Tribolium castaneum: one gene and its partners. The protein of the gene in region 3 interacts with the protein of the main gene of each other region in a biochemical or structural test. Links are inferred from orthologs where the notes say so. Each region holds a gene or a part of one and is shown on either strand. Other genes may lie near its edges.

Region 1 (4,661 bases), on a different chromosome or scaffold from region 3:
TTCCGGCGAGAATAAAGCAAGTAACCGAGCAAAAAAACAGAATTGTTAGTTACGTTACTTTAGGACTCGTCGAGTTATGGTCGCAGCTACTACGGCAGGCGCAGCCCCAGCGGGGCCCAAGCCTTCAAATTCGACAAAGAATCGAAGCCCGATAAAGTCAAACAGCCCACGATTTTGCTCAAAGCTCGGGAACACTCTGAGGAGTCGGCGTCCAAACGAGCCCCAAAAGTGGACGAACTTCCAATCACGATTTCCTCGACTGGCTCAGAGACACAATCAGCCCCCACGGTTAAGTCGATGAGCAAGAGTGTCAAGTTTTTGGAAGATTCAGTCTTATTAGAACACCTTCAAGAGTTTGTGCAGGAAAATAGCGATTTTCTGGTCGTGGGGGTTGTGGGGGCCCAAGGGGTGGGAAAATCAACGGTTTTGAATCTTATTGCCCACAATACAGTGAGCGAAGACTTGAAAGAGGCGATTTTTCGCAATTGCGAAGCACGGAACGAGGATTTTTTGAGTGAAAATTTCACCGAAATTAAGCTTGATGAAGAGAAAGTTAAGAGGGAAATTTTTAAAATACAGACGGGGGAAGATGTGGAAAGCAACAGTAATGCCACGAGAGGCATTGACGCGTTTATCACTTCGAATCGTGTGATTTTATTAGACTGTCAACCCTTTATGTCTGTTGCTGTGTTAGACGAATTGGTTCAGAGTGAAAATAAGCGTTCGAATATCGTTAGTGAGTTTATTCCTTTGGAAAACAGTGGAGAAATTCAGGGGTTACAACTAACCGCGTTTTTGATGAGCATTTGTCACGTTTTAATAGTAGTACAGGATTATTTTTTCGATAGTAATGTTGTCCGGTTTTTACAAACTGCCGAAATGTTAAAACCTACACATTCAAACCCTGAGGATGAGCTAAATGACCATTTCCCGCACTTGCTAATGATACACAACAAAGCACAAATGGACGATTTCTCGCCCAGGAAATTCAAAACCATTCAAGAAATTTACAATTTATTGTTTGAAAAAACCAAGCTTCAGAAGGACTCAAATTTGGGGCTGGCTGACGATAATTCCGGCGAACTTTTCAACGTGTTTCTCATCCCGGAATACAATCCCAAATATGGTAATTATTTTTTTTTGTTTAACGAGCAAAATGTTTGCCAAATCGAGTGAGCGCATCTTAAATACTCGATTTATTGCAGATAACATCTACAATGGACACCCGCCTTTGGAAGACCTTGTAAAAAAATTAAGGGCCAATATTTTAGGCGCGATTAAAACGCCCTTAACTCACGTTCAACTGACTGAAAAAACGTGGCTTGTGTACTGTTCAAAAGTATGGGAAAATGTAAAAAAGAGTTCGTTTTTTATCGAATACACTAAACTAATGCCATGAAATAATTTATTTCTTTGAAACCTTCTCTTTCCGTTTTTTGACATGTTTTTTGATTTTTGTTGTCCTTTTGGCAGCTTGTGCCTCTTTGACTGCTTTTTTCCGCGCTTTTTTCTCATCGAGTGTTTCATGTTTGGGTCTTGAAGAGTCAACAAAATTACTACCAGTGTCTTCTTCACTTTCTGAATTTTCTTCAGATGATTCTTTTTCATCCAAAATCTCGGGATGTTGCACAGTTCCACTCAAATCGGCCTTTAAACCGACCAAAGTTTTGTAAACTAAATCGTCAGCTAAACCCGATTTAACTCGAGTTATGTCTCGCTCGAAATCAATCACTTCAGTCAGGCGTTTAGGGATGTAAGCCTGCTTAAACACCTCTTCCTCCACCTGTAATGGAACACCAAAAAAATTTCGTTACTACTAACAAAAAAATACGACAGCATTTTTTTTTTCTAAACTCACTCTGGCAAAGTTTTATGGAATTTTTTGTACTTGTAATTGAGAAAATAATTTTACCTGTTCCTCTGACGTGACTTCGGTGTGTTGAGCCGCTTTCTCAGCCAACGCCTCAAGACACTCCTCCATATTCCCCTCATTTATCGTCGGATCAGTGATAAAATGAAACAAATCCTTGATACCCATAGTCGCAACTTCCTTCTTTTTGAAAAAATCTGTGATATTTGTACAATCCTTCCGCAAAAACTCCAACGCGTGAGGATGGTCATGTTCTACAGATTGTGACACATCGATAACGAAAATTTCGCCATTCAAATAAAGCATGTTGAACTCGGACAAGTCGGCATGTACTAATTTACACTTATTGTACATTTTCCACATGATTATAACCACGTCTCTGTAGATTTCACGCGCTTTTGACTGACTTAAATCCACGTCTTTTAATTTCGGAGCAGGCCAACCCTCTCGACCAATAAACCCCATTAGTAAGACATGCGAACGCAGCAAAATGGGTTCAGGGACATTCAAACCGTTCGAATGCATGCGAATTAAATTCCTCATTTCTTTTTCGGCCCACGTTCGTACCATTTTTCGCGGATTATGTCGACAATAACCGTGTCTGAATCTAAACTCGCCACTAACGTATTTATCGCGATCTTTGAAAACGAGAATCGAGGTCTTGTAAATTTTAATCGCAACCTGGCCCTTATCACTCGTTGCGTGATAAACATTTGCCTCTTTTCCCGTTGAAATACAACCGTTTATTTCGGAAATTACGTTCCGGTTTAATAATTTAAATAAAATCATTCGGGTTCGTGGATCCATGACTTGTTCAGCGGTGGCACGGTCGTGTTTGTCCTTGTGCCGTATTTTCTCATTTTCTTGCCGTTTTTCATTGGCTATGAGCAAATTTGTGGCATGAGGGGGCAAAGCCCGGTCATACGCCTCAACGTTGATTTTGTTGGTGTATTTTTTGAATAAACTGTCGGGGGGTTGGTACGAACTGACTTTTTTTGACGACACTTGGGGGTTCCTCTGGTTTTTGCCCGAAATTGAGTAAAAATCGTCATCTTCACTTTCGTAACTATCTTCATCAAGGGTCAAATTCTCGGTTACGGGGGCCAGAATATCGTCTTCAGCGTCCCGAAAAAGCTCGTCTTCACTCAAAAAATCGTCCGGTGTGGTCATAATTACACAAATAAACGTGCAAAAACTCTGAGGTTATATTGAATTGTCACACGTGTGAACTCGAGTGGCCTTCAGCCCGAACTAATTTCCGTGTTATTGCACAACTTGACCCAATTTATCCCAGCAGTTGGTCAAAAATTTGCAAAAAAATATCCAAAACTCTAGTAAAAACCTAACACTTTGCCCAAAAATCGTAAAAAACGATTCGGTCGTGTACACAATCGGTCGCAATGTCGGGGAACCTAACCCCTCTGAATATTAAGTTTGTGTTTTTCGCGTAATAATGACCGAGAAATCGTTCGACAAGCTCCAGTTGAACCCTTGGATCATTCGCCAGTGCGCCACTATAGGTATGAGCCCCCTTTTGCTTCGTAAATTAATTTTGGGGTACAGGTGTGCGCAGCCCTACACCCATCCAGACCAACTGTATTCCCCCAATTCTCGCCGGTAGGGACTGTATCGGGGCTGCTAAAACCGGCAGTGGCAAAACCCTAGCATTTGCCTTGCCCATTCTCCAGAAATTATGCGAGGATCCTTACGGTATTTTCGCTCTTATTTTAACCCCCACACGAGAACTGGCGTTTCAAATCGCTGATCAGTTTGCAGTCATTGGCAAAGTGATGAATTTGCGCCATTGTGTCATTGTGGGGGGTATGGATATGGTGGTTCAGGGCAAAGACTTAGCCCGAAAACCCCACATTGTGGTGGCAACGCCTGGCCGCTTAGCTGACCATTTAGAAAGTTGCAACACGTTTAATTTTAATAAATTGAGGTTTTTGGTGCTTGATGAGGCCGATCGTTTGTTAGGGGGGCACTTTGACGAACAAATCAAAACGATTTTTCAAGCATTGCCTAAGGAGCGCCAAAATTTATTTTTCTCAGCCACGATCACCGATACTTTAGAAAAACTGAAAGATGTGACAGGGAAAGATGTTTTTTTCTATGAAGCCCCGGCTGAAGTAGCAACTGTTGAACAATTGGAACAAAACTATGTATTGTGCCCCAAAGATGTGAAAGACGCTTATTTGGTTGAGACAATTAGGACGTATCGTGCTACAAATGACGGAAATATCCTTATTTTCACTAACACTTGCAAGTAAAATAATTGGTCTAGAGTTTGAAATTAAGTTGGCAATACTATTTTTGCCAACTTGATTTCGTAGTCGTAGACTAAGTAGGATTTATTGTAGGAATTGTCAAGTGTTGTCAATGACTTTAAATGAGGTCGGTTTTGAAAATGTGGCCCTTCATGCCATGATGAAACAACAACAGAGATTAGCAGCTTTGGCTAAATTTAAATCAAACACAATTAAAATTCTTCTAGCCACTGATGTTGCAAGTAGAGGTCTTGATATTCCCACCGTTCAATTAGTAATTAATCACAATATTCCTAAAATACCGAAGGAATACATACATAGGGTTGGTAGAACTGCCAGGGCTGGGAGAAACGGCAAAGCGATAAGTTTGGTCACCCCTTACGACATCAAATTGTTACAAGCGATCGAACAACACATTAATACGAAATTAACTGAATTTAAATTGGACGGTAATTGTTTATTTTAGTGAGGTTTTTTAGTTTATTTTGAATTATAGATAGCGAAGTTGGTAAAATTTTCACGCA
Region 2 (3,704 bases), about 5.7 Mb from region 3:
ACACAATTTAACCATAGGCAAAAACATCTGATAAACATTAAAGAATTTTGAAGAAAGTATTAAAATTTATTTATTTTAAAAATACATAAACACATTAAAATATTGCACGGTTAGCAGTGACTTTAGCTCTAAGATTAGTTTCGAAAAAGCACAATTAATAAAAACATTAGCACAACAATCCAAATTATAAAAAATAAGTGAGAGGCTAACTTGACTGACCCCAATACCTTTGTTTTCAGAGTTTGGCGAGAGAAATTATAACATCGGTTGCTTCAATATCATCTTGCATAATCTCTATTTTTTTCGTAAAAAATTTGTCGAGAATGGATTCGCTGCACATAAATTTTGCAGCGTAATATTTGGATAAATAAAAGACCGTTTAAAAAATTAAACTTTATTAGAACAAATTACAGAGCAAATAGATAATGCGTGTCTGGTAGTTTTCCCCCGAAATTCAGCTTCCCTGCTTGCGGACAGTGAATTCTTCTCATAACTTCTTTAATTTCATTGACACTAATGGGGGGCTGTCCACTGTAAACCCTGCTATAGTCTGGATTGTTACCACTAGCCCCTATCCTATAATCCCCATTAAACATCGTAGAAGTGTAGTAATTGCCGTATAAATGATTCAGTGGATCACTCCCACATTTGCCCTCCATCCTCACAAGCAACGCATAATCGGTTATCTCAGCAACTGTCTGGTACCCCAAATACGACAAAACCACCATAGCATTAGTGCTGAAATTAATTTCCTTTTTCGGGTCAATCCACTGTCTTAATTTTTCGGAGTTTCGGGCCGTGATATCTCTACTGCAAAACGAGGTGGCTCTCGCTTTGCAAAACTCCAAATACCTCTTCTCGTCCAGGGCTTGAGATATGCGATCAGCCCTCAGCATCCTCGACTGTTTGACTTCATCAACTTCGGATAAATCGGTGAATTCTCCCGTCTCGTCTATGTACTCGATAAACTTCATTAGCTCGTTCTTCGGTATGGGATCTCTGTCAATTTCAATGACCCCCGAGTTCAACGACTGGAGTTGCTGTTTGAGTTGCTTGTTTTTCAAATATTGGAAAAAGCGGCGCATTTTGTGCTTATTGTGCCGCATTAGGAACACCAACTCCTTGCCTTTGAGGTTCTTACCATCGGAGTACTTCAGCGCTTCCTGGACGATCATGCGGAGCTGCTTCAACACGATGCTCTCCACCAAACGCACCGTCTCGGGGTTCGGCTTGTGGCTGTCGCCGAACCCAAACATCATCAGCGAGATTTCGTTACAAAAGGTTGTTTTTTGGGAATCCATCAGTTTTTGTCAACAAACACCTAACCTCAATTGACAACAAATATTTTCCCCACAGAATAACAGGTTTTTTTCCCCAATCAAACACAGCCGGTTCAAAATACCAGCCCGTGATTGGTCCTTAGCTCACAACGCCGCCAAAAGAAAATAAAAATCCCCAAGTTAAACGTCAAGCGCCATAGTTTGTGGTTACAATAATTTTGAAAAATAAACACGTTTTGCGAAAAAAAGTGGAGGAAGAATGGTTGTGGTCACGTCGTTTAAACCACCAGAATCTCCTATAAGACTCGAGCAGTCAAACGTTGTGGTGATTTTGGATAAACGTGATCTGGGCACCGGAACCCTATTTGTGAGCGAAAGGTAACACAATTATGGCAAAACCAAACGAAAAATACATTGTGTTAAATTACAGGACACTCAGTTGGCAAAAAGACGGGACTACGGGTTTTTCAATTGAATATTACAACGTCTCGCTCCATGCGGTGTCCAAAGACCCCAACGTGTGCGAGAGGGAGTGTATTTATATTTTGACTGACCCCCACATAAATTTGTTTGGTTTGTAATTTTTTGCGCAAAATTTGGTTTATTGTGCGTCGTTTTGTAGGAGAAACTGACCAAAGGCCCGCAAATGATGACAGTGACGTTGAGTCAGAGCCAGACCTCTCGGAGCTGATTTTAGCCCCCGAAAACCCCACACATGTACAAAGTATTTACGAGGCTATAAAAATTTGCCAAGAACTCAATCCCGATCCTGCCGATGTTGACGACGAGGACGATGATAATTTATTCGCGGACGCAGAAGAAGAAATGTTTATAGAAGCAGAGTCTGAGCAGATTGGGGACGCAGTTGTCGACAGTTTGGCCGAAAGGCTACAAAACAACTCAGTCGACGTCCAGTACAGCTACCGGAATGGCAACGAGGATGAGGATTTTGAAGATGCAGACTGATCCCTGAATTATGTTAGGTTTTGTATCTTTAATTTTAATCCATTTTTTATAAAACACTGACTAGTGAAAAGGTTTTATTCCAACAGAAAACAATGTTGAACGAAACAAAAAATGAAATTCCTTGCTTCTCCTTCACAATTCTCAATTCCGATAGACTAAAAACGAAACAATCTATCTATTTCTGAAACATTCTGAACTTCTTTGACCCTTAATCGTATTCAACCATTTCATCCTGAATTCCTCCCATTATCTAACTCTCTTAGGTCCAAAAATCAGGTCGGCGTCGGGCGCCCCCTTGGGGTGCTGGTATTTCTTGCGTTCGCGGTTCAAGTTTTGGGTCACGGGCCTGTTCTGCTGCTGCATCATGTCTTGATAATCCTCCTCTTCAAACCGTTCCGTGATGTTCAGCGTCAAGCGCTTCACTCGTTCCTTCTCCTCCTTCTGAGCCAACTCCTGGTCCCTCAGATTCTGAGCGAGTTCGGAGTTGATATCAGCCTCGAAATTTTTATATTGCTGCTTGTTTCCTTTGCGGACCATTAGCACGAACCCGATTTTGTTGGGTTCCGTTTCAGGGGCGTCCTGCAACTGCTCGTAGGTCTTTTTGTTCGATTTGAGGACAACCGGAACGGAAATGTCCACGTTTCCGGCCTTCACCGGCTCGCGCATCCGCTCTTGGATGTTCTCCGAAACCATTTTATCCAAAGCGTTTAAAAAGTCCTCGTCCTCGGGGCACTCGACCTTGCGGGGGCCACTGGGAATTGCCAGCGATTCGGACACTTGTTCTTGCTCAGCTTCGCTAACATCGGGTTCCCCTAAAAAATAATTAAAAAAATTGGAAGATTTTAAAAGTGAGACGGACCTTCATCGTCCGAGCCTTGTGTGTGGTCCACCGTTTCGTCCTCAGTGGCGGTATCATCAGTAATAGGTGCCGTGACTTCGGACACTTCGTCCTGTTCTTCAGTGTCGGTTTCAGCGATCGTTTCCAGGCCGTCTTCCTCAACTTTATTTTCGTTCAAATCTCCAGTGATTTTATCTAATTGACTTAGTTTTATTTCGGGATTTTTTAAAACAAAGCTTACCAAAGCCCAAAGTGACGCGAATATTATTTAACTCGGTTTGTGTTTCTTCGTAGCTTTGACACAATTTAATTTTTGGTCTCAGGGTCGTGAGAGTGTCTTTAAAAATGTGCTCCAGTGTTGGAGGAAATGCATCTTTCCACAAGTCGCGCTTGAACCAATAATACGATTGCAGAAATATTAAATAATAGTCTAGTCTCCTCTTACTGCTACCGCTGCTGAAATACGTGCCTACAAGTTGAAATTGGCCTAAAACAGTAATTAAAAAATAATAAATTACCGCATGTTTCAAGTAAAACACAAGCCAGTCTTATTCGGAAAAGGTGATTTGGTGGATCGAGTGGCGACGGTATGTTTGGATCCATTGAAACTCCAAATGTTA
Region 3 (5,177 bases):
AAAATTCATCCAAAAAATCACAATGTGTAGATGTGCCAACACTGGGAATTATATCCTAGGAAACCGTTTCAAAAATAATTTATTTTTATTGTTGCTCAAATTCTATTGCGATCATGACTGCTAGACAACGTTGCCACATATCATTTATATAAAATCCATTATTTATCAATAACTTTAATACAAAGAATTTTTTTACTATTTTTACCTTTATATGTTACCAATTCTCTACCACACACCATTGAGTTGGTGCGCCAGTTTTTGAGCACGCTGTATATCCCATTTCAGTTCATAGTAGAATTTTGCATTTTTTGGAGTGAAATGGAGCACAAATTGACAGTTTCTGGTGGATTTTCTTAGCTCAAAACGTGTCGCTGGGATTTAGTTTACCAGAGAATTCTTTTCTTTTACAGAAACTCTCAATTTGTGCTTTATTTTTAACTCCGAAAATTTGAAATGCGCTGTTGAAATTCTACGATGAACTGAAAAAATAATTGACCAAAAATAATTTTTTTTTCATATAATTTTTAAATGACTCGTTTTTTTTTCAAATCTATATTTACAGGGTGATCCTTTCAATGCCCATATTAGAAACTTTTTGTATTGCTAGAGCTTTAAAATTTTGTTCACGATCCAAATCGATCCATTCAGAGATCAACTAAATTATTTTCAAATTGCTAAACTTCCGGAACAATAAGAAATTCGCGCCAACTCTGAAATTTTAAATACTAACCACACATCTTTATCCCATTTTTGAATCCGCCTACTCAAGCTGAGCAACCCACGTTGTAGGTAAATAAGTCATAGTTTGTGCCACATATCATTTTTTTTGTAAAAAGTTTCATTTGCAGAGGTTTACTTAAAATATTACTTTTTGTCAGTGCCTTTGCGATAAGTCAATAATTTTTTTGTATTCAATAACCCAAGGTTTGAAGAACCTTCTAGAAGTTTCAAATTATCAAATGTCAACATTCAAGGCTAGTATGACTTTTTCAAAATAGTTATCAAAAAACGGCTATAACTCAGTTTTTTTCAAATAGAATTACCCTATTTTCTTAACGACATTCGAAAGAACATCGACACTTATGGTGACTTTTATAAACACGTCCTATTCCTGTCTCTTACGGTTTTTAAAATAATCACAAAAAACGGATTGTATTTTTTAATTCTTCATCCTTAATCAAGTAGGCTTTGTAAAATAGTCAACAAAAAAAAAAACAAAAACAAAATTGTCAACTTCAAAACTTTATTTAGTGTTTAGCTGGTTCATTTACGTAGTAAGGAGTAAACCAATAATATTTAATTATAGTTTATTTTACTTAGTTATGTTAAGTACATACAGTCATATAATTTTGAACTTCTTAAATGAAAATGGTGGACATATTGAACATTTCTTTTAATTAATAGCAAAATTTTACTCGATTAAAAATTAAAATAACGAGCTAAGATTCCTGATAGATATAGAAATGTTGAAATCGCCATAAAAATCAATGTCCTTTTGATTGCCATTGAAAAAACAGAATTATGATCATTTTAGCCTTGCAATTTGACAATTGGCAATCCTAAAGATTTTAGAAGACCCTTCGAATCTTTGGTTAACAAATGCAAAAAAAACATTCACTTACTGAAAAGGATTCAAGAGCTGTGATAATTTGATAATTGGGCCTAAACGAATCAGCCCGTATTGTTGCAAAGATTCTCAGAAAGTTATGAATTTTTTTCATGCAATGTGATCTTTCATTTTTATATAAAAATAAATCTGTTGAGTTTTTACCCATTTACACTCAGTGACAAATATGTAATGATTTAACTTAGGTATTATCCCTAATTATAGGCAAACTATTTTGTTTCAATGCTTTTCATAAAAAATCAATTTCAAATTTTGCGTTCACGCGCTTGTTATAACAGCTGGAGCTTTAGACGTTCCTAGTATACTCGTAGTTCAACCTTAATCGACTTACCCTTGGATAAATTCAAGATTGGGGTCACCAACGTATAGCTTTTTCCCCAAGAAGTGTAGATATTTAGTGTAGAGAGACAGGTCGGTCTCAGAGTCCGATTTGATGATGTATTGGACGTCTATGGTTAGAAAGCGCTGAATTATGTCCTGGTGGGCGCGTGGTAAGACAGGCTTTCCGTGATTATTTAAAATAAAGTAAGTCGTGGGGATAATTAGCGCTTTGACGGGCTCCCCAATCCACCTATTGACCTCACTTTGTGAAGGAATATGTGCAATTTCAGGCAACTCCAAAACTAGACCTACGTGCTTATCGTAATTACAATAAGTGCGAAAATCGTTCCACCACTCCCAAGAATCCTCCTTCTCATCTTCGGTGCAAATGGGGCTAAATTGTGACGGGTGCACCATGGGGAGCGTAACCCAAAAACTGGACGTAAACCCGTTCACGAGTTTCTCATTGATGAGGCGCCCCAACTGTGCGTTGTGTCGCTTAGTTAGGGAAAATTTTATCACGGGAACCCCCAAATGAACCGCAAAACCTAACTCTTGCAAGAACAGGGCTTTGCTTTTCCTTTGCACGTGTTCAATTTCGCTGTCCACGTTGATGGTGGGAGTGAGTTCAGCTTAAATTGTTCAAATTAGCGATTTTTGCAGTTTGGGGCTAAAACCTACCGACGATATAGCGCCCCCATTCAAGACTTTGCAAGATGCGGTCTGTACGACCGATTGCCGGCGGGGGCTTCCCGTGGAGGAGGTCGCGAGCGTAGTTGGGGTGCGTTATTTGAGTTACTAGAAAATGGTAACCGTATTCATAAGCTGACTGGATTGCTAGCCTAAGACTGTGGGGGCAGTTCACTTGGAGACCGGTTGACATTCGCTTGCGTTTTTCATTGTCTCCGTCTGGGTAGTATTGAGATTCCACGCTCATTTTGGGGCTAAAACATGTTGTGGATTGAGGTTATGTCAAATGTCAAGTGTGCGTTTTTTACGACAAAATTCGTAAAAAAACGTGGCAAAAACGCCAAAAATGTAATAACGGAGTAATATTGGGGGTTTAGGAGGCAAGTGTTATTGAAAATTGAGCTTACCGTTTGAATTACCACTATTTTTCAAACAACGCTGTCAAAATAAAAATTGACAGTTCCAGGAATCCGGAAGCAGTGCCAACAACATGCTATTATTACCACTGCCAACATAAAGGATTATATTTTTAAACTTTTAGGGTTTGGATTTCTTTTTTTTTTTCATTTATAACGTTTTTTAATTATTATTTTTTTGTACAAGAAGTTTGTAGCTAATACTGTGAAAAAATAATTTCACAGTTATTTATTTATATTTTATTATTATTTTATTATTTATATTTATTATTTCAACGTTATTTATAATGTTATAGTGGCGGTCAGCTCGATTTGCGTGTGCGTCATCAATTTCATTTTTTCATTACCAACACAAAGCTATAAAAAATTCTCAAAAACAATGCAAATTTAAACAGCTAAGGGCTATCTAAGGGTGGTATCCTTGAACATTAATTTACATGTGCACTTCGACAACACCGTCAAGTGTCACGAATTTGTCAAACTGACATTGACAGTAAATTATAGACGTCGTCGCATGGTTGTCGAAAGTGTTATCGGTGTTAATCGCAAGTATTTTCTGTTCGTTTATTGTGTTTTGTGATTTGCGTTTCGTTAGGTTTTTGATTCTGCGTTTATTAGTTCTTGTTTTGTAAATCTGTATTTTTTGTAACAACTCATAATTTAAACACTTCGTAACCTCAAAAAATATTTGATAGTTTGTCACCGCTATGCCCCTGCTATGTAAACGTAGTGACAGAAATGTCAGATGACGCACACGCAAACGGAGCTGAGCGCTACCATATAAGTTATAATAATATACACGTGTATTAAACACCAAATAAGTATTAAGATAGCTCACTTTTTTAACTTTTAATAAAAAATATTGGTAGACATTAACTTTTAATTTCATATACAGGTTCGTCTTTTAAGTTTTCCCAGCCTCGTGTTATATTTCTTTACTGAAGAATTTCTCTTAAGTGAGTGGCTGTGTCGCTATTGTGCAATAAATAATAATGCTTTTACATATTTTTTCCAATCAAAATTTAAATTAAGTTTTCGTTCAGTTGTTCGTGTTTTAAATCGAGTGGCGTTATTAAAATTGAGTAGTGACCCGTGACGTCTTCACCAATCGCGAAAAAATTCCCAACCGGAACTAAAACAAACGAGGATCGTGGTGCGCCTTCCCATCGACCAATCGATGCGTGTCTGCGATCACGTGCTGGCCCTCGTGACTTACCACGTGACCTCGCGTTAATTAACCGCGGGCTTCGTGCGACATTTAATCAGGCCGTCGGTGTACGTACTTTACAAAAGCAAATATGTCTCGAAGTGTATCCATGAAAAACGAGCGTGCCTTTCTCATATACAAAAGCCTCAAAGATAAGCGTATATTTTCCATTAAACCATCATTTGTACGTATTCATGCAGCACGGCATCAGATAAGTGTTGCCAACTGTACATATTAAATGCGAAGGTGTACAGAAAAGCGTTTTCGGATCGTTTTACCATCGGACTCCGCCCCCGATATGGGAGGGATGGTCGGAGGGATACGCCCTCGGCACCCCTGGCCGAGCGCACCGGCCATCATTGCTAGGGTGAGCGAGGGTGGAATCAGGGTGTATTGTAGCGTCACCCCAGCTTGTTATGTTCTGAAGTGTTCGATCGCCATATTGATAGGAATACTCACTTTTTATTGGTGGATTTATAATCAGTGCGAAAAATGCGCTACCCCGAAATATGTATTCTATTGATTTTGTGTAAATAATTCGAGGGGGAAGGTTTATTTTTTGTTTGGTTTGGTGCTTAATTAGGAAAATGAAACGCGGAATGTATTAACATACAAAACTATCGCGGCGTGTGTTTATGACAGATAATAAATATTGTTGTAATTATGTATTGCACGCATGAGGAAAAATCGCTTCCGGTCGAAAGGCCCCTCCCAAAAAGTGGTACCTGCCCACTAAAAGTACGACGATGAAGGCGATGCTCGTATTTCCGGTAATTATGGCCGCAAATCATATCAGAGATTTTCAAATTGAGATTCTTGATGTTCCCAGCATTATTTTCAATTAGGTGGGAGGAATTAAATAAGGTGGAAAATATTAACAGCCGCCGGATGTGCTCGTTTCTTGTATTTATTTGTT

Evidence for each region.
Region 1: the proteins of csul (region 3) and RIOK1 are reported together in a solved structure, tested with the Homo sapiens proteins (2 studies listed by BioGRID, with this or other methods). The link is inferred for Tribolium castaneum from reciprocal best matches to the Homo sapiens genes PRMT5 and RIOK1.
Region 2: the proteins of csul (region 3) and icln form a complex in vitro, tested with the Homo sapiens proteins (5 studies listed by BioGRID and IntAct, with this or other methods). The link is inferred for Tribolium castaneum from reciprocal best matches to the Homo sapiens genes PRMT5 and CLNS1A.

What each region holds. Positions count from the first base shown.
Region 1 is NC_087402.1:314,299-318,959, forward strand, and holds RIOK1 (serine/threonine-protein kinase RIO1), read right to left. Parts: upstream 3,041-4,661; coding exon 1,913-3,040; intron 1,784-1,912; coding exon 1,406-1,783; 3' UTR 1,400-1,405; downstream 1-1,399. Other genes in the region: nonsense-mediated mRNA decay factor SMG9, read left to right, coding at 1-16, 64-1,126, 1,206-1,399; Dbp45A (probable ATP-dependent RNA helicase DDX49), read left to right, coding at 3,324-3,390, 3,434-4,136, 4,231-4,586, 4,634-4,661. UniProt on the Homo sapiens protein: Involved in the final steps of cytoplasmic maturation of the 40S ribosomal subunit. Involved in processing of 18S-E pre-rRNA to the mature 18S rRNA. Required for the recycling of NOB1 and PNO1 from the late 40S precursor.
Region 2 is NC_087394.1:28,288,492-28,292,195, reverse strand, and holds icln (methylosome subunit pICln), read left to right. Parts: upstream 1-1,523; 5' UTR 1,524-1,539; coding exon 1,540-1,658; intron 1,659-1,710; coding exon 1,711-1,853; intron 1,854-1,902; coding exon 1,903-2,246; 3' UTR 2,247-2,316; downstream 2,317-3,704. Other genes in the region: uncharacterized protein LOC103312536, read left to right, coding at 240-356; transcription initiation protein SPT3 homolog, read right to left, coding at 408-1,301; Upf2 (regulator of nonsense transcripts 2), read right to left, coding at 2,493-3,058, 3,106-3,279, 3,326-3,553, 3,603-3,704. UniProt on the Homo sapiens protein: Involved in both the assembly of spliceosomal snRNPs and the methylation of Sm proteins.
Region 3 is NC_087394.1:22,619,736-22,624,912, forward strand, and holds the start of csul (protein arginine N-methyltransferase 5), read right to left. Parts: upstream 3,184-5,177; 5' UTR 3,046-3,183; intron 2,893-3,045; 5' UTR 2,886-2,892; coding exon 2,630-2,885; intron 2,581-2,629; coding exon 1,959-2,580; intron 1-1,958. UniProt on the Homo sapiens protein: Arginine methyltransferase that can both catalyze the formation of omega-N monomethylarginine (MMA) and symmetrical dimethylarginine (sDMA), with a preference for the formation of MMA.